Notamacropus eugenii: one gene and its partners. The protein of the gene in region 1 interacts with the protein of each later gene in a pairwise test. Links are inferred from orthologs where the notes say so. Each region holds a gene or a part of one and is shown in the gene's direction. Other genes may lie near its edges. The genes, in order: HOMER3, EAF1, PKN1 and WIPF1.

Region 1 (6,904 bases):
GAGGCTTTGGGCACAGTCCAGGTGAGAGGTGATGGCGGCTTGCATGGAGAGGCCGGTGGCTTGTGTGAGTAGACTGCACAAAACTTAACAAGTGGATGTGGAGAGGCCAGGGAGAAGACTGAGGATGTGAACCTGGGTGACGGTCAGGAAGGAAGGGGGTAAATCAGGCAGAGGCGGGAGGAGAGATGATGAGTTCCCTTTTGGACATGTCGAGTTTGGAATGCTAGTGAGTTCTGGGCTGGGAGTTAGGAAGACCTAGCCTCATTCTCACCTCTGGCACTCAGAGCTGTGTGACAAAGCACAAAGCACAACCTCTCTGAGTGGGTTTCTTCTTCCGTAAAGTGAGGGGGTTGGACCACAGAGCCTCTGAAGGCCCTTCTGGTGCAGATTCTCTGATTCTCTGATCCAGCTGGATCTGGCTGTTCCACTTTTGGTGATACTTAAGAGTAAGAATAATTCTGGATATAAAGACCTCGGATTCTTTGACATAAAGATGAGAGCAGACCCCCGGGAGCTGTGCAGAGACAGAGGACACCGCCATGGGAGGGGTGGGGCGGATGGGAATGAGGAGTAGTGGAGGGGCAAGAGGTAGTAGGAAAAGGATCCCCAAAGAGGAAACGGTGGTCAGTAGAGTCACTGGCTGGGAGAAGGGAGACAAGGGTGAGGCTTGAGGAAAGACTATCGAATTCAACAAATAAGTGATCATTAAGTGACTTTGGAGAGAGCAGTTTACATCGACATGTTATAAACCAGATCCCAAAGGGCCAACAAAGGAGTGGGCACAACTTTATAGGAGTTTGGCTTTGAAAGGGATCAAAGGCCAAGGCTGGGGAAACTTCAGCCTGGGGGTCACATGTGGTTCTCTAGGTCTTCAAGTGAGGCCCTTTGTATCCAGACTTCACAGAGCAAATCCCCTTAATAAAAGGAAGTTCATGAAGTTTGGATTTAGTCAAAGGGCCTCACTTGAGGACCTAGAGGGCCACATGTTTCATCAGGGTCACAGGGTCCTGGCCCTTGAATAGGTGATTGCTGGAGGGGATGGAAGGATCAAGTGAAGAGTTTTTAAGGATGGGATTTGGGGGCAGGATTGGGCCTTGGTTGTAATGGGTATTAAGGGGTCCCCTGAGCTTGTCTTTTTGAGTTGACATATTTTCCAGTTGTAATTCATGTCTCACAGACTTGTGACAGTGTTTTTGATTACTGTAAGTCAGAGTTGGATGGCATCCTTGAACAAAGAACACAGAAGACAGATTTTGGCATACTGTTGGTGAGAGGTGATGAGTGTCTGAAGCAGGGCAGTGACTGAGTGGAGAGGCCAGATGGGAGATGTCTTGTGTGAGTAGACTAGACAAAAGTTAGCAATAGATCAGGTGTGTAGGGAGAGGGAGAAAGGCTTAGATCAGACCAGATATCTTAAAGTAATTATATTAGCAGCAGAACCCAAAAGGACCTTGGAGATCCTTTATTGAATGTGCTTGTTTCACAGAAGGGAAAGCTGAGGGCCAGAGAAGGCCACTGATTTACTCAAGTCCCTTACAGATGGAATCAGGACAAGAACCTGATTTCAGCAATGTGTCATACGGAGACCAGGGAAGGCAAACATGGAGGGCAAATTTAAAATGATCTTCCCCAAAAGCCACACTGTCAAGAATTAAAAATACCCCTTGTAAACAAATTAAAATTAGAGGCTTCTGTGAACCGTGGGCCTCTCTCAATGCAATCACATATCTCTGTAACCTCTGCCCACGGACCAGATTTCATCAAAACCCATTAAAAAGTGATGAGAGGCCCTGCTCAGTAGAATTTTTGCTTAGAGATAGTGGCTAGCATTTTCCAGGGCACACAACATAGCTCAAATCTACAGCCTTTGTCATGCTTAATCTGCCCGTGTCAACCCTGTGACAGAGGTGGAACAGACTGTCCCCTCATTTTACAGAAGAGGAAAACTAGCACCCAGAAGGGGTCTCCTTAGGGTCTCCTTAGTCCACAGTGACCTCACCAAGGGATTGTGATCAGGCCTTCCCTAGGGAAGGGACCTAGTCCAACCCTGAAGTGACTTGTCTAAGATGACAGAAGCAGTAAGTGGCAGTCAGGATTTGAATCCAGATCCTGTAGACTCAAGTCCGTTATGCTTTGCAGTACACCATAAGTCTATAAACCTTCCTTATGAGTCCCTTCTGCAGCTCTTTTCCCCGAAGCATTTTGCTTGTCAGGAAAAAAAGAATGGTATTAATAATCTATAAGGAGAAAAGAAGTCATTGTAGTTCTGGGAGAGCAGAAAAAACAGAAATGAGTCTGAAGGGGTGTGGGGGCAGGGGGCCCAATTACAACCCACTAGGGAACCCTCCTCTTTATTGGGCCAAAGTCCTAATAAATTACTTCTAACCTAAGAGCTGTAGCCCTTCAGGGTTTTCAGTGAGCTTTCTATACATCATCTCATCTGGGATATGGAAGGTAGACACCCCGACCCTCACTAATGGGGGTTCAGAGAAGGTAAATGACTTGCCCACAGTCACTCAGTGGCCTCCACAGGGCCTGCCCAGTTCTGCTTCTGAACCCAACTCTCTTTCCAGCAGACCACTCCTCCTTAACTTGCAGTCCACTTTATCTCTCGTATTAGGTTTCTCCTCCCTCTGAGGCTGTGAGCCCAAGAGGGCAGGGCCTCCACTTGTATGTCACAGTTGTTAAATAAATTTGTTAAAAATTAAAGGAGCAAGGAAAGCATTAAGCAGCAGCAGGAAGGAGGAAAGGCACAGGATCTTGGGGGGAGGGAAGGGGACCTCCAAAATACAGTCAGAGAGGCCCCAACCAGCCCAGCCCAGAGTGGCCATACTGTGGAGGAAAGGAAGTTGGAAAAATTGTTAAGAGTGAGCTACAAGGGATCTGAGGAGACCTTCTAATATGATAGGAACATTTTACAGAGGGGGAACCTGATACCCAGAAAGCATCAGGAATATAAGGAATTTGAATTGAGGTCCTCCAACTCCAAAGCCAAAGCTCTTCTGGGCCCTTTCCCAGGGAACTGGCAGTCTGGGTAAGGGAGTTGATACTGACATACAGGAAGCTGAGAAGGGACACAGGATTCAGTGCGATTAAGGGCCGGAGGGTGGAGTTTCAATTCTGTGTCCTGGTAAAGCCTAGATAAAGGAGAGAGGGGGTTCGTGGGCCTCCGGTGACACTGAAGTGTGAGGAGAGAGAGAAAGAGAAAGAGAGGAGAGAGAGGAGAGAAAGAGAGGAGAGAGAGGAGAGAGAGAGAGAGAGAGAGAGAGAGAGAGAGAGAGAGAGAGAGAGAGGGAGCGCTTTGAAAAGCGGGCATGGCACTGTCTACAGCTGAGGGGTACCCTAGGACACCCACATGTTCAGTAGCCTCCTGAGCTCCAAGCACCCAGTAGGAGCTTTAAAGTTGGGACTGAAGGGTTCGGGGCAGGGTCTCTTTCTCAGTCAGCCAGTAAACACGACGCGCCTACTATGTGGCCGGCACTGCGTAAGTGTTTCCCCGCGGCTCTCTCGATACAATGTATCGCTGTGGCTGTCTTTGTGGCATGTGCTGGAGCCGGGAGGCGCCGCCTCCGCACCTCCTCCTCGCCCTCGCGGCGCCCCTGGCTGCCCGCTACGCCGCGCCACGCGGAGCCAGCCTTGACCACGAGGTGACCGGTCCCCACGGGGCGGGGCTCGGGTGTCCTGCAGGTGGCGCCGCTGAGCGGGCCCGAGAGCAGACAGATAAAGTCGGGGGGGCAGCGCGGGGCCAGGACCGCTATGGGGCTGGCGGCCGCGGGCGGAGGCGGAGGCGTTGGGGAGCTGGAGCTGGGGCTGGGGCTGGAGCTGGGGCTGGGGCGGGCGCTCCGGGAAGACAAAGACTGCGGGGCGGCGGCGGCGGCGGAGGCGGCGGCGGCGCGGGGCAGGGCGCGGCGCTGAGGCCGCCCGCCGGGGGCGCAGCGCGCTCGGAGCCCCGGCCCGAAGTTGGAACGACGCGGTGCCGGGAGCGCACGGGAGCCTGGCCAGCGGGAGGTCCGGGCAGCACGGGCAGGGGCAGCTAGCGGGTGAGCCAGCCTACTGGGGTACCCTCGGCGTTCCCCAAAGTTTGCGCCTTCGTGCCGCGGGCTGGGGCGCCGGGGGCAGCCCGGGTCTGGAGGCGCGCGGGGGTGGGGGGTGGGGAGCGCGGGGCATTGGCTGCCCCAGGGACCAGCCTGGCTCTTCTCAGCCCAGCCCGGCGCGGATACAGAGGGGGCGCAGCCCTTCCTGGGAGCTGGGGAGCAGGGAGAGGCTTGGGGAGACCGAGGTGGGAGAGGCGCCCCCTCCCATCCTCCTTATCTAGCTTCGAGGCTGGAGATGAGGGAGGTGAGGGACCCTGGCAGAGTCAAGGTCTCTAGCTCCAGGGCTGGAGATGAAGGAGAAGACCGCGGGAGGGGGGGTGCCTTGGGAACAGTAAAGGCTCCCAGCCCCGGGATTAAAAATGAGGAAGAAGATAGGGGGACCCAGAGTAAGGATCCCTAGTCACGGGGGAGATGAGGAAGAAAATAGGGGGGACCCAGGCAGAGTCAAAGTCCCCAGCTACAGAGCTGGAGGTGAAGAAGAAGGTGAGAGAGGCAGGGTTCCCAGCCACGGGGTTGCAGATAAGAGAGAAGATAGGGGGGCCTCGGGAAGAAGAAGAGTTCCCAGTCCCAGGATTAAAAGATAAGGGAGAACATGGAGGGGCAGTTTGAATAAGGGTCCCCAGTTCTATGGCTAAAGATTAGAGGAAAACCTTAGGAAGCAAGGGGGAGTCCCCGTTACAGTAGGGGAAGTAAGAAGCCAAAGGGGGAACCAAAGCAGCATGAGGCCCCCTGTTCTGAGACACTTTCTCGTCCTAAGCCTGGGCACGTTGGATTGGGGGCGATTCAGGGTGGGGGGACTACGAGAAGCAGCCTTCCCTCCCCCATCTTTGAGAACGCCTCTGCCCAGGGCGAGTTGTATGCCTCAACTTGCCAACTCCACTGTGGGCACCACCCCCTCTGTGCCCAGCCCAGGTGTCAGGAGAGGAGGAAACTGGGTGCCCCAATATCTAGGACCTTATGACCCTGAGCCTTGAGAAAAAGGGTTTCACTCCAGGGGCTCCTGGAAGCTGTGAGCTTGACCCCAGCCCAGGGTAATCAGATCTCCCAGCATGAACTCTCTTTCCATACTGGGTTGTGGGCTCTTGGGGGATTTTAGCTCCCTGACCCCCTGGTACATTGTGTCAAAACTCTAGGAGTTTGGAATGAGTAGACCCCTAGATCTCCCCCTTGCCTACCTTCTTTGTGGTTGAGGGTATCAAACTGCAGAATGCCTGATCTGGAAGGGACTCTCATCCAACACCCTGATTTTACAGAAAGGGAAACTGAGGCCCAGAGAAAGGAAGGAACTCACCCAGAGCCGTACAACAAGTGACTGGAAGAGCTAGAGCTAGCAGCTAGGTCTCTTGATTTCTATATGTGTTTTTTCTGTCCCAGTTCAGCTGATCTGACTTTTGACCCCAAAGAACTTTTTCAAAACAACTGAACAGCCAAAGAGAGTCCTGGGAGTGGATTCAAGCCAGCTGGGAGAGGGGGATGGGGCTTGCTGCCCTTTGGGATAGCTCCCCTCACCCTGCTCAGCAGCCAACTTCACCAGCCCTGCCAGGAGCACTGGTGGGGGAGAGGGGAGATGGGGAGCCCAGATGGGGAAGAGCCTGGCTTTGTGATTCATTTGGGAACACCAGGGGTGGGAAAGCTCCCAGGGAGCCTGAAGGAAGGGGGAGTAGGATAGACAGGGGTCTCAGTTCAGTATTTCCTTCTGGGAAACCTTGACAGGAAGCAGAAAGCAGGAAGGGGTGGGGGTTGGAGGTGGCAACATACAAGGATGGGGGTTGGCTGCCCCCCAAGGTGGGGGCGGAAGGGGGTCCGGTTTCAGGCTGTGCCCATGTGACCAGCACAGCTGCAAGGAGGGAGGGAAGGCAGGGAAGGGAAAAGAGGGTCTGGTTTGGGTGAAGGGAATCCTCAATCAGGCTGAAATACCCCAGACTCCCTTGGGATCATTCTCTTCACAGGACCCACAGGCTTTAGCCAATTTAAGCCCCTCTCTCTCCTGCCTAGACCCTGGCGGCAGGTTTGTGGGTGTGTTTGCATGTGTATATGTGTGTGCTGGGGGTGGGGGAGGTGGTATTACCAAACTGGGTTCCGGCAGGAAAACTGGTAATAAGGAGAATGCTGGATTTAAGATCAGGACCCGGGACTGAGTTCTTTGTATATGCCTTATCACCTGTGTGACCTTGACCAACTGCTTAATATCTCAGGGGTCTATTTCCTTCTCCATAAAATGAGGGGGTTGAATGAGGGAGTTTCTGTGGTATCTTTCTGCTCAGGACCTATAAAACCTATAGTACAGGTTCAAGGGCCCCATCAGCATTGTAGAATGTCTGAGGTATAAGGAAGGGTTTTATAAGTGTTGAATGAAAGTGATTAGGCCAGCTAGCTGTCTTTACTGCTTCACTAGGCCCCACAGGGCCCTCAGAGCTTTTGGTCTCTCTCCATCCCTGCCCTGTAGTTAGGGGAAGGGAGGAATACTTCATGGACCACCCCTAGGCTCTGCCTCACTTTTCCTCCCTCCCCTGCCAGCCTGTGGGGCTTGTGTGTTGGTTGGCTGAAGGAGGATCCATGAACAACCAAGTGTTAGTCAGTGTTGTGGGGGGGGGGATGTGGTGTAGGGGGCAGGATGAACTTTGTCCTGGGGCAGTCTCCTTGGTCTCCAGGACCTGGGTTGGAGGCCTTACGTTTTAGGGAGTGACAACAGCGTCATCCAGCCCAACTATCTAAACTTACAGAATAAGGAACTGAGGCCTCTTGGGGGCTCATTCAAGGTCGTATTAGTAATTAGTAGCAGAGGCAGCTTTCAAATTGAGATACTGACC
Region 2 (7,182 bases), on another chromosome or scaffold:
ACACATCAGTTACCTGCTGTCATTTCTACATTTTGCTCCCACAGAATGTGATACTACCTTTCTTATATATCTTACAGTTTGAATCTCTCTTCTGGCAAACAGAGGGCTTTTTTTTTTTTTTTAATGAACAGACAGCAGAGCTTTCAGGCTTCCAGGCTCTGGGAAGGCCTCACGGTGAATCTTCCTCCCCTAGACAGTTTTCTGAATGCTCACAGTCCACCTCACAGTCATCCTTTCATTCTCTTTGAAGCATGGAGGATTGGCAGGGGATCTTTTCCTTCTAAGACTGAGAGGTTTTTCAATGTATTGGAATCCCAAGGAACTCTAGTATTCCTTTTCCATTATCAATAAGGTATCCCAGGACTGTATGTCTTACACCCTGACAGTATGGCTGTAACTCCAGGACTGGGCAGAATCCTGAACTCATAAAATATTTAGACTAAGATTTTCAGAAACCTATTTTATTGATTCTCACATCTATATATTCATTAATCACTGACCAAGATGGAGCAAAAGTCCTCTGCTGGGATCGTAAGATGAGACTAACAAGATGAAAACTTACAGGGAGAAAAGGAAAGACCTGAGTCAAAATCAGCTAAGGGGAGAAGTTTGGGGCACCCAGGCAGTGCAGAGAGTGGTGCTGGGCCTGAAGTCAGGAAGACTCAACACTGGGAGTTCAAACCTGGCCTCAGGCATGTACTGGTTGTGTGACCCCAGGCAAGTCACTTCTGCCTGTTTGCCTCAGTTTCCTCATCTGCAAAATGAGCTGGAGAAGGAAATGGTAAAGCCCTTCAGTGTCCCTGCCAGGCTTCTGGAGCCCTTTTGAAAAGTCCTAGGACAATGACTGCGACGCTATGGGACCTGGTACCACCCAGGCCAAAAGATGAGTCACTGAAGGAAGTGAGTACTCCCTGGGGACTTGAGAGCTACAAGCCAACATCTGAATCCTGACACGTAGCTCTGTCATGCAGGCTCGTCCTGCCTGGCCCTCGGGAATGGAGGGCAATTACAGGAAGGCAGATTTCAAGAAAACATAAGGAAAGATGTTTCACAATCAGTGCTGACAGGCAAGGATCACTGAGACTTCACAATTCACTTGAGGATCCCTCAGCTCGCTTTGTGCTTTGGGGAGGAGTTAAGGCAAAAATTACTTCAAAAGTCTCTTCTATCTGCCACTCTGTGCTTCCAATTCAAGAGTGAGATGTCATGGGTCACGGGAGTGACAAAGTGGGTGAGTAAACCTGTCACCTTCACTCTGCCAGTTACCAAGGGGGTCACCACCTAAAAGCTGCTGGTCAGAGTCTCAGTATATGCATACAACCAACTTATTTTCCCTTTCACAATTTGCACTAATTGGTAACATCAATTGTAACAGAAAAGGATTAATTTAGCCTCCATTGTGCCAAATCAAATGTACATAAATGGGCTTAAAGAAGTATCATCACAGACCTACTATACCAACCTTAACATACTCCACAGCCCGGGGTGAGAAGTCACACGCATAAGCAAAGATATTTCGATCTTCTTCTAAAAGTGGGAATAAACAGTTTCCAACCCCACAGCCAGCTTCAAGGATAATCAACTTCTGATCATCAAACTGAGGGGAAAAAAAAAAGAGTAGATGTTATATTTGCATGATCAGCAAATGAAACTGCTAATTCTCACCTATTCAAAATCTAGGTCTTATTGCTGAATAGAAAGCATGTGATAATTCTATGTTCTATTTGTGTTGTCTTAATTTGTGTTGGATTAAGTTTCACTAGCAGCTTCGAGTAAATGGTTTGCTGGCCAACTGTATTTTTCATGTCACAAGCACCAAGTAAGCCAGATAAGATGTGCAGAGTTTAAGACAGCAGGACAGCAGAAAAGACACCTTCAAGTAGACTGCTAAGCATTTAACGAATCTCCAAAACCTGAGACCCATTCACTGGCATTTACTTAACGCCCACAAAAGCAGAGTCAACTAGCATTCGTTAAATGCTTACTAGGTGCTGGTACTTCTGAGCTAGAGTTGGCCTCAGAAGTCAGGAGGACCTCGGTTAAGTCCCGTGAGTAACTTAATCGCTAATACCATAATTTACAGGGATGTTGGATCAGCACGTTTCCTCCCCAGGAGTCCCATTCAGGCCTTATTTCTCTTATCAGCCCTCCCTCACAAGTCATCATTATTTCTCTGATGGCATGTTTTTCTTTGGCAACGAAAGACAAACACATACTATCTTTCTTATACAGGCAGTATTAGTTGACTTACCTCCCTACATGCCCTCAGTTCCTCAAACTCTCTGGTGGTCCAGTGTCTATCTTTGAAGAAATTTGTACTATTTCTCTTGTAAAACAGGTCCCAATTCTTCTGGGCCTCCTTTTCTAGTTTTGCCTGTTTAAAGGGAGACACAACTGTACCATCTCTGTCTTGAGGCCTGCTCTCTTGTTCTTTCTTCCGAAGTAGATTCTCTCCACTGGTGGACATTACCACGTGTAATCCCATTAAAGAGTCTTCATCCTTGTAATTCCCAGATGAATTCATCTTCCTGCAGCCCTTTTGAGGATAATTTCTTTTAGCTAGGTTTCCTCATGTTCATTTTCAGGCAGCAATTCCCCCGACTCAAACAGGATCAGGAGCTAAAAAAGGAATAAAAATGAGAATACGGTCAGTTGAACATTTTAAGGTGGATAAAATGAGATAGTATTTGTAAAACTGTATTTGCATCACCCAAAAATCAAGTGGGGAAATCCCACTCAGCAAAAATCCAGGTCTTCCTGGATTGTTGAATGAGAGCATGTGATCATTTTATATTCTATTTCTGTTGTTTTAATTTATGTAGATTAGAAGCGACATAGTAACGGGTTCATTGCTGGGCTATAGCTTCCTGTGTCACAAGCGTACAGTGCCTGCACACAGTAGGCACAATATAAATGTTTATCCAAATGAGACGACTACGAAGCAATTTTAGCACAATGTACGTGGCACACAGTCATATAAACAGACGCAATTATTATTGTTGTGGTGATATTTTCTTCCCTTCCCCAGAGGATGGTTCAGCAGAAACAGAATTCCTGAAAAATCCAGTATTTAATAAGTGCCCACTATATGCCAGACTATGTGCCAATGTAATTTTTGTCACACCCACTGTGTGGGAACAAGAAGGAAACCATGGCATCTATTGGGGGAGGGGAGTCTAACCTCAACATCCCCCACCCCAGGCTGCCCCCCTAAACCCTGCTCTGCACCCTGCACCCCAGGCTGCCCCCCTAAACCCCACTCTGCACCCCCCACCCCAGGCTGCCCCCTTAAACACCGCTTTGCACCCCGCACCCCAGGCCACCCCCCAAACCCCGCTCTGCACCCCCCACCCCAGGCTGCCCCCCTAAACACCGCTCTGCACCCCGCACCCCAGGCCACCCCCAAACCCTGCTCTGCACCCCCCACCCCAGGCCGCCCCCCTAAACCCCGCTCTGCACCCCCCACCCCAGGGGGTACAGCCACGTTTTCCAGACCAGGTACCACGGGCCCTAGGGAGGTGCGGCTGGCCTCCAGGGCCTCGAGGGCCTGTCCAAGCGTTACCCCCTGGGGGCAGGCTTGCCTTTGTATTTCCAGGGCTGGGTACCAGGGGCCAGGCTGGGGGCTGGACGGCCCCTCACCCCCACTTTGGCCAAGCTCGTGGGGGGAGCAGAGCTGCAAGGGACGTGGGGTCCAGCCCCCTCGTTTTACAGAAAAGGAAACTGAGGCCCAAGAGTCAGAGAGCCGGGGCTCCTCCCACCCTCATCTTGGAACAGAATTTTTACAAACCGGGAAACTGAGGTCGGGGGGGAGGAGAGGGCTTGCGTGTGGCCATGGGGCTAGTCAGTGGAGGGGCCGGGATGAGGACTCTGGGTCTCCAGGGCCTCAGCTTCCTCGTCTGTAGGATGGGCACAACCTCCCTAACTGGCCTTACCTACCCGGCTTGTGGCGAGCGGCCGAGTCGGCCTGGGGCCGGGGCCGGGGCCGGGGCCGGGGGCGCACGGACAAGGCCCAAGGCTGGCGGAGCAGGTGCGCAGCCCTGTCCCAGAGCAGCTCAGCCCGTACCCTCCCAGGCGCGGACCGGAAGTGTGCTCAGTCCCGGGCCTCGGTCGGAACGCTTTCCCTGTAGCACTGCTCCGCCCCACTTCCGGTAGGGGCGGTGACGCCGGAAGTTCCCTCCCTATTCCCCATAGACCCCGCCCCTGGCGCGGCGGAAGCGTAGAAGGAGATTCCGGCCTCTTTTGGGGGTCGCCCCCGCCCCCGCAGCCTCGGAGCGGAGCGGTGTCCCAGTTGCACCATTCCCCCCTGCCTCTGCCGGAAGTGCCGGCCGGCCCTCAGGGCGGGGGCGGCGCTGAAGAAACCGGCGTAGGGGTCGGACCGGGCGGTAACTGGAGGCCGCCTCCCCCGGCGGGGAAAGGGCCATGAACGGCACCGCGAACCCGCTGCTGGACCGCGAGGAGCACGGCCTGAAGCTCGGCGAGAGCTTCGAGAAGAGGCCCAAGTCCTCCTTCCACACCATCCGCTGTGAGTACCCGCGGGCCGGACCGGCCTCCCGCCCCCGACCGAGCCCCCTCCCCCCCCGCCCCGGGCCCCGGTGGAGTCCTCCGCTCCGCCCTCCCGCTTCCCGGGACCTTCCCAGCGCCCCCCACAGACTCCTCGTAGACGCCCCCGGCGCCCCTCCGCCCCGCCCCCCTCCCGAGGCCCGGCCCAGGGGCTTCCTTTAGCGTCCCGGTCTGACCCGTGAGCCCCGCGCGGGGCGGGGGCGGCCCGGCAGTCCGGACGCGGGAGCGGTCCGCTGGACCCTCCGGACAAAGGAGGACACTGAGGCCCGGGGTCGCGGAGCTCGGCCCGTCACTCCTCGCGCTTTTCTCTCGCCGTCATATCGGGCTGTTGGGTTTTCCTCTTACGCCTCCCAGAAAAGCCCCGTCCGACCCAAAGCCTTCCTCGTGGAGACTCGGGGCGGCTCCGCGCGGGCTCCGTGTGGGGGGCGGCCTAAGACGGCCCCCCCCGTCAGCGGGGGCTCGTGGTGTTGGGCGCTCACCCGAGCCAGGGCGACGTCCGAGCTCTCAGCCGGGCCCGCCAGGGGGCCCCGGGTCAGCGGCCCGGCCGGGCCTGACCGTGTCTGTCCTCCCAGATGACTTCAAGCCGGCGTCCATAGACACCTCGTGCGAAGGAGAGCTGCAGGTGGGCAAAGGGGACGAGGTCACCATCACGCTGCCGCACATCCCGGTGAGTGGGCCTGTGTCTAAGGCCGGGAGTGCCCCGCTGTGCCAGGGCTGTGTCTGTCCTTAATGGTTTTGGGTGGTAATGGGGTAATATTCCTTACAAGGGTCAGCTGCTTAGAGGAAAAGTGGCTAGCACCGCCTTCACCAACACGTGGCTGCCCGGAGCCTTGGGCCAGGCTGGGAGTCACCTGGGTGGAGGGTGGTGGAGGGTGGAGTCCCCCATAAGCACCTAAAGCCCAGGCCGTGCGTGGGTCCAGAATTAAAGGGGATGGACAGAGATGGCAGGCCTAAGGCCACAGGGTCTGGGCAGCTGGGATGGAAGCAGGACGTCTCCGTAAGAGGAGCCCGGGATCAGAGATCAAATCGAGGTGTCGCGTCCCAAAGCAGAACTGATCCAGAGAGGTTTGAGCCCAAGATGCTGAAAAATGGGCACCTGAAGGAAGGTTCCTTGAGAGGGAGGAGACGTGTTTTTGTCCCTGAATCTCCAGGCCCAGTTTGGGGCTCTGCACTTTTTTGTCCAGAATGGGGATGCCACTGGTGTAGGGAATTCTTGGGGAGCAAGGTCTACAGCTTTGGGGGGGAGGGGATGGACCAGAACAGAGAAAGATTTGACTCAGTAAGATAATAGAGATAAAATGCTTTGGCAACTTCGTAGCATGTAACCGATGTCCATTGTTACTGTCTCTGTTAATGAGACAGCATACCAAAATTAATGGGATGCAGCCAAAGCAATTCTTAGGGGAAGTTTTATATCTCTAAATGTGCAGATGAGTAAAATAGAGAAACAGGAGATCAATGACTTGGGCATGCCACTAAAAAAAGCTAGAAAAAGAACAAATTAAAAATCTCCAATTAAATATCAAATTAGAAAATCAAAGGAGAGATTAATAAAATTTGTTTAATTTTTAAAATTAAGAAAACTCGAACTAATGAATAAACCTAAGAACTGGTTTTATGGAAAAAAATCATTAAAATAGATAAATCTTTGGTTAATTTTATTTAAAAAAAGAAAGTCAAATTGCAAGTATCAAAAATGAAAAGGGTGAATTCACCACCAATGAAGAAGAAATTAAAGTAATAATTAGGAGCTGTTTTGCCCAATTGTATGCCAACAGATCTGACAATCTAAACAAAATGGATGAATATTTGCAAAAACATTAATTGCCCAGATTAATAGAAGAGGAAATAAAATACTTAAATTATTACTGTCCCTGTTTTAGGATCATTTAGTCCGCTCAGGGATAATAAACATCATATCACTATTTGTCTTGATCCCCAGGGGGAACCAAAAGCTATCCCAGAAATCAGTACATTTTGTTCTATATGCACAACTTTAACTGGTAAGAAAAGGATGGAAATACTTTAAATTAGTTGGGAGGGCTTTTTAAAATGAGTCTGAGTTACTCATGCTAGCTAACCATTTTAAAAGATAGTCACCTTTTTCTAGTTAGTGGCACATTCCATGTGTCATTTAAGATGACTGTCTTGTGCTTTTACTTTAAATAGGGATCGACACCTCCAATGACTGTGTTCAAAGGAAACAAAAGACCCTATCAGAAAGACTGTGTTCTTATCATTAATCATGACACTGGTGAATACGTGTTGGAAAAACTCAGTAGCAGCATTCAGGTCAAGAAGACAAGGTGAGTATCTGATGAATCCATACCAGCACACATCTGCCATGGGGCAGTTGACAAAGCCCATCCCAGGACCTCTGGTGACATGGGATCTCTGATATCATTAGTTTGAAGAGCTCCCAGCAAAAAAAATGGTTTAGTAGATGATTCCTAGCGAGTTCCCCGAAGCCCCCAGATGTTGGTGACCTGCTCAGGGGCACACAGCTTGGAAGCATTCAGTCCATGGCTGTGCTGCTTCTGTGGGATACCAATGAAGGGACTGAAGGTCAGAGAAGGGCCTCCAATCCAGGCTGTCTCCCTCTAAGCTCTGTGCTCCACCGGG
Region 3 (7,321 bases), about 10 Mb from region 1:
TGAGGCAGCCCCAGGCCAGTCTCTAAAGTAGAAAGGCTAGTGCCTGGATCTAGATCTGTACCCTGAGGCAAAGTCCTGACCCCCAAGGACACTAAGAAGAGGAAGATTCTAGACACCACACCAGATCGCTAAGAGAGGCAGTCAGAAGCACGGTTCTAGTCCCAATTTTGTCCCTAACTTTCCATGCTACCTCATGTAAATGACTCAGCCTCCACTGACCTAATTTTGCCCATCTATAAAATAAGGCAATTGAATTAGATAGTCTCTAAATTCCCCTTCTCTTCTGATGATAATAATAATAATATCAGCTTATATTTATGTAACATTTATGGATTGCAAAGTGCTTTCTCAGTTGTTAAAATTTATATAAATGTTATTGTTACAAAGTGCTTAACATACATTATCTCATGTAATCCTCACAAGTATGGTTATCTCCATTTTACAAAGGAGGAAACTGAACCTGAGAGTTTGTGGCTTAACTGTATTTCATATTTGTATAACACTTTATCACTTACTCCCTCTGAGAGACAGAAAATAGCCTGGGATATGGAATCAGAGGGTTCAGATCCCAGCTCTCCCACCTATCTGACACTTCTCTCTGGGCCTGTTTCTTCCTCCGAAAATGAAAGGACTGAACTAGATGGTCTCTAAGAGCCCTATTAGCCCTAAATCCTATTATCAATAGTATAGGAATATCCTTATTTTACGGTCGAGGAAACTGAGGCTGAGAGGGACTAGCTAAATGATTTGCCCAGAGTAGGAAGTGACAAAAGTAGGACAGGAATCTCAGTGTCCTGACTATAGATGCTGTGTTCTTCCCATTATACCATAGCTGCCCTCAGGGACTATGAGTCTACTCTCAGGTGGTGCTGAAGTGGGGCTTGGGGTAAGAAAGGAGAGAATCTATGCCCAGCCCTTCTGTCCCAGAACAGATGGTAGAGGGTGGCTTCCCAACTCCCCCTATTCCTCTTTCAACTGTTTTTATCCCCACCCTTATGATGGGACTAGGGCAACTGGGGAAAGCCGCAGGGTTCCCCTGTTTTCTCTTCCCCCAACCCCCATTCTAGGATAAAAACAAAGGATGCCTGGAGCTTCACCCCATGTCAGACTTCGGAAAGTGTGTGGGCTAGAGAAGGGAGCCTGGAGTCAGGACTCCTGGGTCCACAATGGGGGAAGGTGGGGCCTAGATCTGTGTATTCAGGATGCTTAGGTCTTTGGGAGAGGAAGGAGCCCCTCCTCCCCATGACTCACTACCACCAACACCAACACCCCCCCTCCCCCCCAGGGCCAAGGGGTTAATTAGCTGTCAAGGCCCTTGAGGGTAGGAGGAGAACCACAAGCATATCTGAGTGACCTGCTGCCCTATACTCACCCAGCTCAATCATCTCCTTCCTTCCCTCCCTATCTACTGGCTCTGAGTGGCCTCCCCAACCCCCATATTGCCTGTCCTGTCCCTCTGTCTGCCTGTCTCCATGCTAACACTTGTCTGTCTGTTTGTCTATACCATGTCCGGGTTCAGGATGTCCGGTTTCTGCTCAGGAAGCTTCAGAACCATTCAAAGTGCCAGACATCATTGGGGGTGGGGATGCCTGGGTCCTGGACTGATGTACAGGCTGGTAGGAGGAAGAAAGTACTGCTTGGATTCAGGGGCTGAGGATGGCTGCCACCTGGGGACCTTGCTGCAGGAAGTGGTGATTCCGAGAGATAGAACTGACCATCCCAGCTTGGCTACTTGCTGGCTGGGTGGCGTTGGGTTGGTCCAGCAGCTCTTAACCATTTTTGGGTCAGTCTTGGCAGGCTGGTGAGGCCTAGGGAGAATAATGTTTTTAACTGCATGAAATAAAATGCATACAACTACAGAGAAATCTACTTATATTGAAATACAGTAATAAAAATATATTTTTTAGAAAACACCAATAGTTCATGGGCACCAGGTTAAGAACCCCTGGGTTAGTCCCTTCTCTCTTGGCCTGTTTTCTCCACTGTCAAATGAGGAGGTTGGATTAGATGGTCTCTAAGGGTCTTTCTAGCTCTAAGTCCTATCCTGAATCCAGCCACAATTTTGGCCTAGAGGAAGGGGAAAGTTTCCCCCTGACCCCAACTGAACCCAGGGCAGCTGCAGAGCTAGGCCCCAAGGCCCCAAAGGCTGAGCATCCCAGCCAGGGAGTGAGTAGGGATTGGGGCAGGCCCAGTGGCCTCTCCCCGCCCCACATTCCTGGGTGACTGAGGTCACCAGGTTCCAGCCCTGCTGCTTATACAGCTGAGTTCAGCTGGCCCTAGAAAGGAGGACTGAGGGAGTCTGATCAGTGACAGAAGGCAGGCACTGTGAGAAGAGGAGGAGACTAAGAGAACTCAATGCCCCTTCCCATCCCTGTCCTCTCCAAGGGCCTCTCTGCCTCCCGCTGGAGTAGCAGGGTAATGAAAAGAGCACTAAAATTAGAACCAAGAGGCCTGGGCTCAGGTCTTAGCTCTGTTACTACTATGATCTTGGACAAGTTACTTCTCCCTCTAAGTCCATTTCCTCATCTATAAAATCAGGCGTAAACTCGATAATCTTTAAGGTCCTCTCCAGCTTATTTCCTCCTTCCTCCTCATGATCCTGTTAGTGAGGGAGGAAGAAAGATAGTCTTCTCTCCCCTCATTCTTCCCTAATGAAGCTGGCTGGGTTAGGAGCCTGGACTCTTGGGTCCCAATATTAGCAGGACTTAGAAGTCCCGGGATTCACAAAGACTCTACCATCAACATTTGCTCTTTTTCTAAGTGACAGCTTGGAGAGATAGGCTGTGTATTTGGGAGACTAGAAGAAGAATCTTGATACAGTAGCTTTATAGTTTTGAGTTGTGAATCCTGCCTGTGATACTTATTATCCATGTGATCTCGGGCAAGTCACAACCTTTCTGGCCCTCAGTTTCCTCCCTCTGAGGCCCCTTCCTTCTATAGATCTGTGATCCTAAGGCCCAGGTCTAGCTCTTGAATTGGGGAATAGTACTGAGGTTGCTCATTTAAGGCATGGGCCTCAGTGCCTGGGGTATTAAGGAGCAGGCTTAGAACAATGGAATGAGGATGAGGGGTAGAGTGGGGGGTGCTGCTCAGGCTGGGGGTGTGTGTGGCCTGAATAGGCCCTTTGTGGGGCCTGGCCCAGCTGGCCCCAGCCCTGGGGGATTGGGTGACTGGCAGCTGGGAGAGGAAGAAGGTCACATTGCAGGCTAGGAGGTGTGGCTCCTGGGTTCCATGCTGGGTGGAGGAGGGAAGGGACCCCAATCACAATGGAGGGAACCATTTTCTCCTCTCTCCCCCCACCCCAATTCTGCCCTCCTTTGGAAGGTGACCTGAACTCAGAGTCACCCCATTAGATGTGGAGTTCAGAGGAACCCAACCTCCAGCCTTAGGACTCACAGAGCTAGACTAATTATGGAGTGGTCTTGGGAGAGAGAGAAGACCAGTTTTAGATTCAGAAAGGGCTGATTTGAATCCTACTTGGGTCCCTTACTAGCTGTGTTTGGAAAAGTCACTAAGTTCTCAGTGACAGAATGGAGGATACTGGGTTTTGATGATCTGTAAGGTGGCTTCTAGCTCTGGGTCCCAGGTTCCCTCCAGTAACTGACCCAGCTCATCACAAGGGCTGCTGGAAGTGGGCTGCAGCCTTGGAGGAAACAGGAAGTCTGCTTTGGGAGATGGGGAAGGACAGGTCTTAGGTATGGGGGTAGGGGAATGGGAAGAGAAGAGTCAGGATTCAGGGGAAAGGGGAGCAAGCCCTGTTCAAAAGTGGTATTATGCCAAAAAGAACATTGGTTTTAGAGTCAAAAAGAGATCATTTGAATTCTGTCTCCTCTTACTTGGTATATTTGGATATCACTTAACGAATTTATGCCTCAATTTACCCTTCTGTAAAATAAAGGAATTGGACTAGAGGATTTTTAGTCCGCCTGTAAATCATGTGATTCCTAAATCCCATGGACCAAGGTCAGCCTCTTTGTGCCTTTATAGAGACATGAGGACATATGGCCAAACGTGGAGACATGCAGTAGATGAAGAGGCCCACCAGGAGGCATCATCATACACACTACCCCAGCCCTGCCTGATGACCCAAGTCTGACCTAGAGCAGGAGGAAGTGGGGGGACCACCCTCACTCACCCTTTTACTTATTCTTCTTTTGGGGGACCCCAGATGTTGTAGCTGGAATCTAGCAGGTTGGTCCTCTCTGTGTCTGGCAGAGGGGTGCTCTTCCTCACCAGTGTTTCCCTGATTCTCTAGTCCCCTTTCCCCCTCCCCCAGGGGGGCCCACATAGAGAGGCCTGGGACTGGCAGGAAAGAGGAAGTAGCAGACACAGAGCTCTGGGCCCTGCCAGGAAGAGAGGGCGGAGCCGCCCTAGGACCCAGGATGGCGGAAGCTGAGCCCCCCTCGGACCTGGAGCTAGAGGTGGGGGACAGGGCCAGGGTTTGGGGGGACTTTGGAGCTTGGACAGTCAAGCCCTGGGGATAGGGACCATCTGTCTACCCTCTTCAGCTGTCTGTCTCCTCCCCCACTTCACTCCCTAGCTGCTATCAACCCAGGAAGGCCAGGGCCAATGACATAGCTTCCTTCTGGGGCCACTAGGTAGGGGTCTGGCTGGGCAGTCCAGTAGGAGTTGATGACAGGATGTGGGATACGGACCAACTGGCTATCTGCCATTCCCCTTCCCTGCCCCAGACAATTAAGGAATTTTTTTGGTCAGTGTCAGACTTGAGGGTTGGTCACAACAAGGATCCTGGGTGACCATGGGATACTCCTGGGCAGGAATTTGGATTTATTGGAATCACCTCTCCACCAGAATTCTGGGTCATCTGGAGTAATTCCCTCCAGGACTTTGCTGGCATTGCCACTTGAGCCAAAATTACTGAGGACCCTGACACCTCTTTTCTGTTGGAACCCCAGTTACACACAGCCTTTACCATTGGCCTGATTCTGACTTAATGCTTCTCTGAGCTTTGGGGAAAGAATATGTTCCAGGGGATTGGGATGGGGAGGGGGAGGAAGGCAGCCCTTTGCACCAAGTAGAAAAGGATTTGAGGTCAACGATCAAATCAGAGATGGGTCCTTGGGCCCCTCCATCCAAGAAGTCTGTACCCAGCACCTATGGTATATATGACCAGGACTTTGTAGGGCTATGTTGGCTGGGAGGCAGGGACTTGGCCTTATCCAGTCTGCAGGGGAGCTCAGACTCCCTATTCTCCGCCTCCCTCTCTTGAAAACTGTGAATCACTGTAGGGATGGGGTTCAGCTTAAAAGGGTCATAGGTCCCCAGAGGGTAAAGGGCTGGAGTAGTCAGTCATAGCTTTCTGGAGGCAATGGTATTTCACTTCTGAGGATAGAGAGAAAGGGAAGGAATTGCATCTGCCAAGGTAGGAAAGAGTCTAGCCTGTTCTGGGGTAGGAGAAGGGGAATTTGGGGGAGCACAGAGAAAAGTAGGAAGGGAGTATAAGGATTTGGGTTCAAGCCCTAGATCTGTAACTTACAATGTGACCTTGGGCAAATCACTTCCTTGCTATGGGCCTCACTTTCCCCCTGTGTAAAATGAAAGAAGGTTTGTCAAGGTCCTTTCTAGTTAATAATCTTTAGGTCTGTGAAGGTGGGGAACCCAGGTTCAGGAGCTTTAAAATGCTGAGGAAGCATAGCATTTAGAAATGGAAGGGACTTAAGAGTCATCTGGTCCAACCCCCTCATTTTATGGAGATGGTTGGGGTGGGGGTGGATGAAAACAGGCATGACTTGCTGGAGGTCACATAATAGCAGATATGGGATTCACAATCCAAGTATCTGATTTAAGCCCTTTTCCACTGTCTCTGCTTCTTCAGACGAAGGGATTTGATGGGGTGCTCCCCAAGCTGTCTCTTCCAGCTCTCAATCTTGTGATCCCATGAGGCTGGGCTTGCCATCAATGTAAGGCTGAGGAGGCTGAACATGGTCCCCCCCCCCCCCCCCAGTTAGGTGTTTCCTCCTGTCCCCTTGGGTTCTTTGGGATCCTGAGTCCCCAGCACGCTGAGCTATGGCCTTTCTCTGTCCTCTCCACAGAGCGAGCCCGGGAGCTGGTCAGTGTTGGAGCAGCTAGGCCTGGCAGGAGCAGACTTGGCAGCCCCAGGGGTACAGCAGCGACTGGAGCTGGAGGTGGAGCGGCTTCGGCGGGAGATCCGAAAGGAACTGAAGCTGAAAGAGGGGGCAGAAAACCTGCGGCGGGCAACCACAGACCTTGGCCGGAGCCTGGGGCCAGTGGAGCTGCTGCTTAGGGGCTCCACCCGCCGCCTGGACCTGCTGCACAGCCAGCTGCAGGAGCTCCATGGCCTGGTGGTGCTGCATGAACCCAGCCAGGCCCAGCCCCAGCTGGGCCAGGCCCAGGGTGAGCAAGGTGCTAAGGTCCCTGGGGAAGTGGCCTGAAAAGCTAAGAGACAGCAGAGACACTGGGCCCTGGGGGGAATCCTGCTGGGTGTGAGGAAGAGTCCAGGTTTGGGGCAATCTTAATGCCAGGGGCTCCAAGGAGAAAAGAAGACTAGGCTCTTGTTGGTCCAGGAGCCCTATAGAGATACCTATGTAACATCTCTGGATGATTATAAAATGGGAGAGGCCTACGGCCACTCCTCATCTCCTAAGGCTGTCCTTTGAGCTGAGGGGTAAGAAACCTAGGTCTAGTCTCTAAACTCTTGTCTCTACCAGGAAATACTGGTAGTTTTTTTTTGGGGGGGGCGGGGGGAGGCATAGACAGGTCAGGATTCCAGACCTCCAGCTTCCCAGCCCCCAGCTTGTCTTTCTGGCTTAAAGTGGAAACCACACCAGCAGCTCCCCTTACCTCAGCTCCCCATGAAATATTCAGACTTCAGGCAGGCAGAGCAGAAGCAAAGCACCTAGCTGCTGGGCAGTGGGACATTAGGGTTCCCAGTTTAGCCACTTACTTTTCAGGGAGAGAAATCTCTAGCACCCCAGGAAGAAAGAGGGAAGCTTGGACTGCTGTATCCCAGGATCAATCAGTCCCACCCAGGGAATTCCTGGCTAGGTACTGGGCAGAAGTGACTCTGACTTCTCCCCTCTCTGTGCTTCCCAGATGGTCCTCAATCCCCCAACTGCTCGGCCACCAGTCTGAGTCTGGTGGCGGGCTTGGAGAAGCAGCTGACCATCGAGCTCAAGGTCAAGCAAGGGGCAGAAAACATGATCCACACCTACAGCAATGGCAACACCAAGGTGAGCTCACAGTGGAGGCTGGGGCTGGGAAGGAGCACATTTCCCTAAGCTCTTCTGCTAAAGACTGGGGGGACAGGGAAGGAAGGGCTAGGAGAACCTTAGCTTGACCA
Region 4 (7,758 bases), on another chromosome or scaffold:
GAAGGACTTTGACTATTTGCAGAAAAATCTCTCTTGTTTTAACTATGAATGTGATGTCCTCCATGACAGTGACCAACACCTTTATTTATAATCACTGAATCACTGAACAAAGTTATCTCATCTGTCAAGGAATCTTGTGCTATTTGAACATATACATGGGAAATATTTTATTGAAAGAAAAATTTTAAGGAGACATTTTCCTCTACAGATTCAACTTTTTACAATCAATTAAACAAAATGCTGATAGGTAAGAAGCAAATATATATTAAAATATTCATCATGATCAAGTAGGATTTATACTAGGAATCCAATGAAGGCTCAAAATTAGAAGATTTGTGGGATCATATATTCTGGCCATTAATTATATAACTATAAAGATATGATTGTGTTTTTAATATAATACATGTGCTAGTTTATCAAAAACATTCATGTGTTGGTATAAACATATTATAAAATTGTTTTTATTGTTAATAAGTTACTATGTTGTTTTCCTAATATTGAGCCGTCATTGTATTCCTACTGTAAATCCAACTTGATTATAATGAATATTTAATATATTTTTGTTTCCTACTTTTTGTGTGTTTGTCCTTCATTGCCCAAGAAGACCATGCTATCAGAGAAATGATGACATGACTTGCACTTCACTGTGTTTTGAGTGAGGAAGGGCGGTGCAGGTCTCCAGCCTCACTTCTCCTCCAGAGCCATCTGAATCCAGTGACCAGATATTCATCAGGATGACTGGAGATGACCCAGGATGAGGCAGTTGGGGTTAAGTGACTTGCCCAAGGTCGTAGGTCTAAGATCCTGTAGTCCCTTATCAGTCATGAGGATTAGTGATGATAGTGAGCCATTTCAAAAAGGAGGCATCATGACTCATGTCTAAATCATCTAATAACATACAGTTGCTGTTCCTTGACCTGCTAATTCCCAACCTTGGATCATCTCCTCCTCTTATTATTTAATTTTTAGCATATTATTTAATATACATAATCATATTCATGGATGTAAAGGAGGTTGAGAATAGGCAATCAGATAAATAGGAGGATAACTAAGAGAAAAGAGTATCATCAGCACCCAGGAAAGAGAGAGTGTCCAGAAGGAGAAGGTGGTCGATCCTGTCAAATACCCCAGAAAGGTCAAGAAGGATGGGAACTGAAAAAAAAAGTCAATGAATTTAGTAATAAAGAGGCCACTGGTGATCTGAGAGAGAATAGTTTTGATCAAATGGTAAGAGTGGAAACTAGACTACAAGGGACTGAGAAGTGAGTGGGATGTGGGAAAGAGGAGGCAACAATTGTAGACAGCTGTTTATAGTAAGTTGACTGTGAGAGTAAAGCTATAGTATGATAGTTTGAGTGGAGGGTAGGGCATGTTTACATCTTTGATTCTTCTCCTTTAGCCCAAATAATCTAACATTCTTTCTCTAAAATACACGTGTTTAGTAAAATAAAGGTTAAACACTAATTTGTTAATGAAGAGGAATACTAGTACATGTATGAAACAACTGAGGAGCCATTGATGAAGAGCAGTAGAGAGAATGGGCCTCACAAGTATAAGGTGGGGACCCATACATGACTTGAAAGGAGGCAGAATAGACATCTCTAGCCTATTTCCCCTCCCCACCCCCACCCTTCTCCAAAGGAGATTTTCATTCCTGCCAGGAGAGAAAGCAGAAAGTTAGGCCACTATACTCTTCTCAGAGAAAGACTGTATGGGACCAGAAGTATATCTATTCAACTTCCTTAAATATTATTCACATAGGGGATACGTTCAGGTTCCATTTAACTTCTGTTCTCTTTGTCATTTGGGTAGAAAGAAGAACCTCAAGTTCTATAGCCAAGGCTTGACCCTTTTCCCACACAATACCATTGCATAATGAACACACATAGCAAATAACAAAAAAACTCATACATCCAAATCAGAAGCAAAACAAATCAAAGGAGAATATATACAAGACAATACAGAATGAAGGAGCTCTCCCCTTAGGAGCCAGATTACAGTTCAACCATCAAAATGTCCCAGATCTCCCCCAAAGGGAAATTCCCCAAAGTCTCGAGAGTAGCAAATTGAAAATAGGGACATGGAGACCACAAGCACCTCTCATATCTTCCCAGAGGCTTTTCCTTTTGCAACCTGGAGTAAGGTTGGCTTCTTCCATCTTCTCCATCTCCTCTCTCTCTCTCTCTCTCTCTCTCTCTCCCCGAAGTCAAATAGAAGCTCTAAAAAGACTCTCACTTGGAGAGTCCCCACAGGGGGACTGGAGAAGGCTGGAGTTCTCTTAACTCTCTCCAATTCTGCCCATCCTTCCCAAAGCGCAAGGTATTCATCTCCACCAATAATTGTGTTCCAAACATAGTAAATGTTTAGCATAAATTTATTGAATTCAATTCAGTTCAATTGATGTCTCAGTTTTTCACTCTAATTCCCATAATCTCCATTTTACTCTATCTCTATCTCCTATCTCAGGCCTCACATCATCTGCCTTCAAGATCCAGAGCTCTGAAATTCTCTTTTTAGGTGACAATCTGTCTATCTTTCTATACTTCCACCTCCGTTTCTTGACTCTCTTCTTTGCCTTCACCCTGAGGTCAATTATATCCTCCTATCACTACCCCCATTGTAGTTTCATCTCCCTAAAGTCCATTCCTATTCTAGGTCTAAGATGTCCCTTATCAGTCTTGACGATTAGTGATAATAGTGAGTCATTTCAAAAACGAGGCATCGTGACCCATGCTTAAATCATCTAATAACATAATTCTGTTGTTTCAACCTTGGATCACCTCATCACCTTATTTGCAGCTTCCCCTTTTATTTCTGATTATTACTTGAGAGCTGCTAAAGGAAACCTATTAATATGCATAATATTCATGCTATTGAATCTAACTGGGCCCTCACTACTGCATAATAATATTTAAATTTATTTCTGATGGACTGCCCAGTAAATTTCTCAAACTCCTAACCTTTACCCATCTTCTCTCTCAACAAATGACCTTGCCTTCCCCAGACTGAAGCTATCCTACATGAAATCTCTCATCTCTCCTTCACATGGAAAAATCTTTTTCTGTCTTCATTCATCCTTTTCTCTTTCCCTCCTGAGTGAAGGGGGTAGACTTCTTTCTTCACTGTCCAGGTTTACTCCACCTAAACTCTTGATCACATCCTTGTCTCTGCCATTACCTTGCAATTCTCTTTCATCTTTCATCTCTTTTTTCTCTTTTGATGCTAAACTTTTTTTCCAAGCACTTTTTCCACTTCCTTACCACCTGTGCATCTCTCAATAATCCCTTGAAATACAGCTTTCATCCCTACCTCACCAGGGAAACTACTCTCTGTGAACCCAAGAATGATATTCCAATTGACCTAAACCAAAACCTTTTATCAACTCTTGCTTAAAAAACAATTCTTAAGCATCTCCATTTTTTTTGCTTTCTTTTCCTTTGCCTTCCATTACAATGTACTTTCCTGGTTCTCCTCCTACCTTTCTGACTACTCCTCTGGCTTCTTCACTAGTTTTTTTCTTCATCCTATAATAGCCACTTCAGTGTGGTTATCCCCTAAGGTTCTATCTATGACTCCCTCCTCTTCTCTATCCTCCTTTTCAGTGCTAAATTTCTAGAAAGTGACCTTCATGATCTCACCTACTTCCTGGTTTCAAACATTCCCACTAAGATAATAATCAAATCTAAATCTCCAGCTCCAACATCTACCTTCAAGCATATTGCCATATTACCTGTATGACCTTCCTACACCTCATACTCAACATATCCAAAATGGAACTCAAGCTTCCCAGAGGAAAAAAAAACCCACAACAACTTATCCCTCCTCCTTATTTTTGTGTTTCTATTAATGATACCATTATCTTCTCAAGTCATCCAAGTTCATTCAAATCAACTATATTTCATTCTTCCCTTTCCCTCACCTCCCATATCCAATTGTCAAATGCTGTTCATTCTGCCCTCTCAAAATGTCTCATCTGTTCCCTTCTTTCTACTTCCCACATTACCATCTTAGTTCAGACTTTTATCACCTTTTGACTATACTATTTTATACACCTGAGCTACCTCATTCCAGTCTCACCCTTGTCCAATTAATCCTACACTGAGGTAGCAAAATAATCTTCCTAAGGCATAGGTCTGATTATGTTACTCCCTTTGCTCCAAAACATCTTATCATTTTCCACTGCTCAGGACTTAGAGTCAGGAGGTACCTTGTTTCAGATCCCAGCCATGGACTTACTGACTGTGGGACCCTTGGACAAGCCACATAACCCCTGTGAAAGTCAGTTTCCTTATTTGTAAAAGGATAATAATTTCTAATAATTCATTAGGACTATTATCAAATGCTACATCAAAACAAATTATTTTTCTCATTTTTTTCCACTTTGAAAGACATCTATATTTCTTTTTACTTTTTTATATATAATTAATTTATTTTTAGTTTTCAACATTCACTTCCATAAGATTTTGAGTTTTGAATTTTCTTCCCTATCCTTTCCCCCTCACCCCCGCCCCAAGATGGGGTGATATAAGCTCCACTTATACATTCATATTAAACATTTTCATATTAATCATGATACAAAGAAGAATGAGAACCAATGGAAGGAACTATGAGAAAGAAGAAACAAAATGAAACAACAAAAGAAAAGGAGAACAAATATTATGCTTTCATCTGTATTCAGACCCCCAAGTTCTTTCTCTGGATGTGGAGACATCTATATTTCTTTTGGATAAGTTTTTAAAAGATACAATTTAGTTTTTCAGAAAAAAAATTTTAGGACAACTCAGATTATGATTCAGTGTGCACAACTCTTCACCTAGACAAAGAGGCACATGGAGCTTTTACATTCCTGTTCCCCCAATCCATACCCAAATGAGCTGCTTCTGAAGAAGGCCCCTGCGGGATATTGATATAAGGAGATAAAGTTCAAGGCCCCTATCCTGCATTCAAAACTGGCTCTAACCCATCTTTCCGGATTTATTACGTCACACAACCCTTCATGCCTATCTCTATTCCAGTTAAAGTGAACTAATAGCTATTTCGAATCTCTTCCTAGCATCTCTCACCTCCACCACCCCACATTCCCTGTCAGAGGTAGAAGGAAATTTAAAGATCATACAGTTCATTCCTTCATTTTAGAAAAAAGGAAACTGAGACAGTGTCTCTCCACCCGTCATTGTTAAGTGACTTGCCCAAGGTGATGCAAGCAGAAAGTGATGGAACACAGATTCAAACTCAGATTTCCTGTCTCCAAATCCTGTGATATTTCAAACTATGACTCTTCTCTCTGGAAATCCTCTTCCTTCAACCCCCTTCGAGAACCTTTCCCTGTTCCCTCCTCTCTCCACCCAACTAAGATTCCAAGGTCCCCAGGTTCTTCACACCCTTCTGTTTTTCTTCTCTCTGTAAATCCTTTCATCACATTTTAACGTGGGGTCGTAGATTTAGAACTGGAAGGGACCTTGGAGATCAAATCCGACCGCCTCATTTACTGATGAGAAAACAGAGCAAAGAGAGGTTAAATGACTTCCCAGGGTCACACAGCTGGTACGTGAACCCAAGTCTGCCGGACTCCAAGCCCCAGTGCCCAGTCTCCTATGCCATAAATACTAGTTATGGGAATACATGTGCCATCCCCCTACGGGACCATACATTCCTGGAGGAGACGGACAGCGACGTCTTCGCCTTTTTAACCTCCGTGCCTCGCACACGGCAGGCGCTCAACAGTTTGTTGACTGAAGACAGGAAAGAAGCGGTCTCCAGCGTCCACAGTGGCAGCTGTAGCAGCGGCGGCAGCAGCGGCCTGCTAAGTCCACATGTGGCAGGGCCGGTAGAGGGGCGGGCAGGGGGGTGGGGGAGGTAATGTTTGGAGTGGGAGGGTTTACATCACCGCGAAGTTCCCGGATGGTCGTAGCCTCCGAGCGCAGAGAGCTTTTCCTGCCCGCCGGGGAGAAGTTTTCCAGAGAAAAATGCCCCGTGCGCTGCAGCTGCTGGGGAACAAGCGGGAGCCGCCGCCTGCAGCTGCGACCGCCGCCCTCATCCCGGGAGGGAGCCCGCGGGGAGGGTTCTAGGAGCGGAGCACACCCGGTAAGAGACGCGTTTTCTTCCTCGTCCTGGCTTATCTTCTCTCCCCCCGCCCCCGCCCCCACTTTCAGAACCAGGCTCCAGCTCAGAAGGTGGGGCGAGGTGGGGGATTAGGGGGAGTTGGATGAATATTTGTGCGCGCCTGTCAGCAAGCGGGGCTTTCGGGGTCGGGCTGAGCCCTCGCAGCCTGGAGGTTATGAGTGCAGCATCTGGCTAGGAGACCCTCTCTCTGGTCTGCAAGGCACATCTGCAGAAGTGAATGCCCTGCTCCTTCCCTCGGACTGGGAGGGGGATTTGGAAACACTACTTTGGGGATCAGTGGGAGGGGGGAGAAGAAGGAGATAGTGACGTGGGAAGTAAGGAGAAAAGAAAAAAAGAGAGAGATGTCGAAACAGTCCTTATTTACTCCAAGAGTGGGTTTCGTTGAATAACATCAGTCCCCTCCCAGGCCCTGCTCTCCCAGATGTGTTCCCAGCTCCTTCATCCAGCTTTCACAAAGTGGCTAACTTTTTCCTTTGGCTGCCGGCAAGGCGCTTTCTCGGATGGCCTCGCCTTCTTGATTCCTCCCCTCTGGCCGGGATGGGGCAGTCCGGGGACCGCAGGGCAAGAGGTACTTGGAGATCTTAGGAAGAAGGTGACTGTGGTGCTGCCCTTGCGCTCCGGGACAAAGCAAACTGACAACCCTTCCTGGGCTCCGCTTGACTATAGGGCGAGATTGCAAAAATCCAGTACTCGAGCTGCTCTGGGCGGAGGCATAACGAGTCCAGAGCTAATTTGCACACTACCTGCACCAAAAAGAGGAGAAAAGCTAAAAGAGACTTGTACAGCATCCCCATCAGCTTTTTTTAAAATGAAACAGTTACTTTCCGTTGTATAGTCCACTAACACATCACCTTCCTCAGTTCCTTCCTTAAATTGGACTCTTGCCTACTTGAATGTCTCCTCCAAACGTTCCCTCTTTGCATCTGCTGGTATCCGTGTATGCATGTGTGTGTGCATATGGTCACTGACCTTAAAATCACTGCCAATTCTACCCAGCACTTTTCAAAAGTATAGGATATACTCTTCCCAGACTTCTCTGCAATCATTTGTTTCTCCAGTTCCTTACTCTTTCTTTTGCTTTTTTCTAATAATATCTTCCAAAGATTTAAAGAAGTTAATTGTCAGTGCTCTCACCAGGAAAAGGAAACAAGCTGACCCAGGCAGGAATTCTGCCTGGTGGTCCAAATGCAGAACTGGCATTAGACTTGGAAACTTCTTAGTTTAACAAAGGGTGGGTCTGTTTGAAGGCAAGCCCTAGACAACTGGTGTTGGTCAGAGCAGGCTAGATCTGGGCACCCCTCTCTTGTTTCATTTTTGTCCCTCTTAGTCTTATACCCGAGAGGAAGAGGGAAATAGTGGATAGAGTGCTGGACTTGGCAGCAGGAAGACCTGTGTTCAAATCTTGCTTCTGGGACTTAGTAACTGTGCAATCATGGACCAGTCCTTTAACCTATCTGAGCCTCAGTCTCTTTATCTCTAAAATGGAGATAATCACGTCTGTTATTGTGAATCTCAGATAAATAATGGGTAAATAAAGGTGAAGGGTGGCTGAAGTGGTGACCAGTAGGATGTGAAAGGTGTGAAGAATGTCATTGTAGAAGTTCGAAAATGACCATTCTTGGCCTCTTATTGACA

What was found.
Region 2: the proteins of HOMER3 (region 1) and EAF1 interact in binary tests that used the Homo sapiens proteins (3 or more experiments, as listed by UniProt). The two-hybrid records come from large-scale screens. The link is inferred for Notamacropus eugenii from reciprocal best matches to the Homo sapiens genes HOMER3 and EAF1.
Region 3: the proteins of HOMER3 (region 1) and PKN1 interact in binary tests that used the Homo sapiens proteins (3 or more experiments, as listed by UniProt). The two-hybrid records come from large-scale screens. The link is inferred for Notamacropus eugenii from reciprocal best matches to the Homo sapiens genes HOMER3 and PKN1.
Region 4: the proteins of HOMER3 (region 1) and WIPF1 interact in binary tests that used the Homo sapiens proteins (3 or more experiments, as listed by UniProt). The two-hybrid records come from large-scale screens. The link is inferred for Notamacropus eugenii from reciprocal best matches to the Homo sapiens genes HOMER3 and WIPF1.

What each region holds. Positions count from the first base shown.
Region 1 is NC_092875.1:66,414,154-66,421,057, forward strand, and holds the start of HOMER3 (homer protein homolog 3), read left to right. Parts: upstream 1-3,895; 5' UTR 3,896-4,040; intron 4,041-5,347; exon of another isoform or gene 5,348-5,478; intron 5,479-6,043; 5' UTR 6,044-6,110; intron 6,111-6,904. UniProt on the Homo sapiens protein: Postsynaptic density scaffolding protein. Binds and cross-links cytoplasmic regions of GRM1, GRM5, ITPR1, DNM3, RYR1, RYR2, SHANK1 and SHANK3.
Region 2 is NC_092874.1:38,508,198-38,515,379, reverse strand, and holds the start of EAF1 (ELL-associated factor 1), read left to right. Parts: upstream 1-4,178; 5' UTR 4,179-4,419; coding exon 4,420-4,522; intron 4,523-4,736; exon of another isoform or gene 4,737-4,938; intron 4,939-5,132; coding exon 5,133-5,227; intron 5,228-6,729; coding exon 6,730-6,866; intron 6,867-7,182. Other genes in the region: tRNA N(3)-cytidine methyltransferase METTL6, read right to left, coding at 1,463-1,597, 2,252-2,524. UniProt on the Homo sapiens protein: Acts as a transcriptional transactivator of ELL and ELL2 elongation activities.
Region 3 is NC_092875.1:76,500,429-76,507,749, reverse strand, and holds the start of PKN1 (serine/threonine-protein kinase N1), read left to right. Parts: upstream 1-4,315; 5' UTR 4,316-4,382; coding exon 4,383-4,421; intron 4,422-6,053; coding exon 6,054-6,375; intron 6,376-7,074; coding exon 7,075-7,211; intron 7,212-7,321. UniProt on the Homo sapiens protein: PKC-related serine/threonine-protein kinase involved in various processes such as regulation of the intermediate filaments of the actin cytoskeleton, cell migration, tumor cell invasion and transcription regulation.
Region 4 is NC_092876.1:236,944,796-236,952,553, reverse strand, and holds the start of WIPF1 (WAS/WASL-interacting protein family member 1), read left to right. Parts: upstream 1-4,737; 5' UTR 4,738-6,084; intron 6,085-7,758. UniProt on the Homo sapiens protein: Plays a role in the reorganization of the actin cytoskeleton. Contributes with NCK1 and GRB2 in the recruitment and activation of WASL.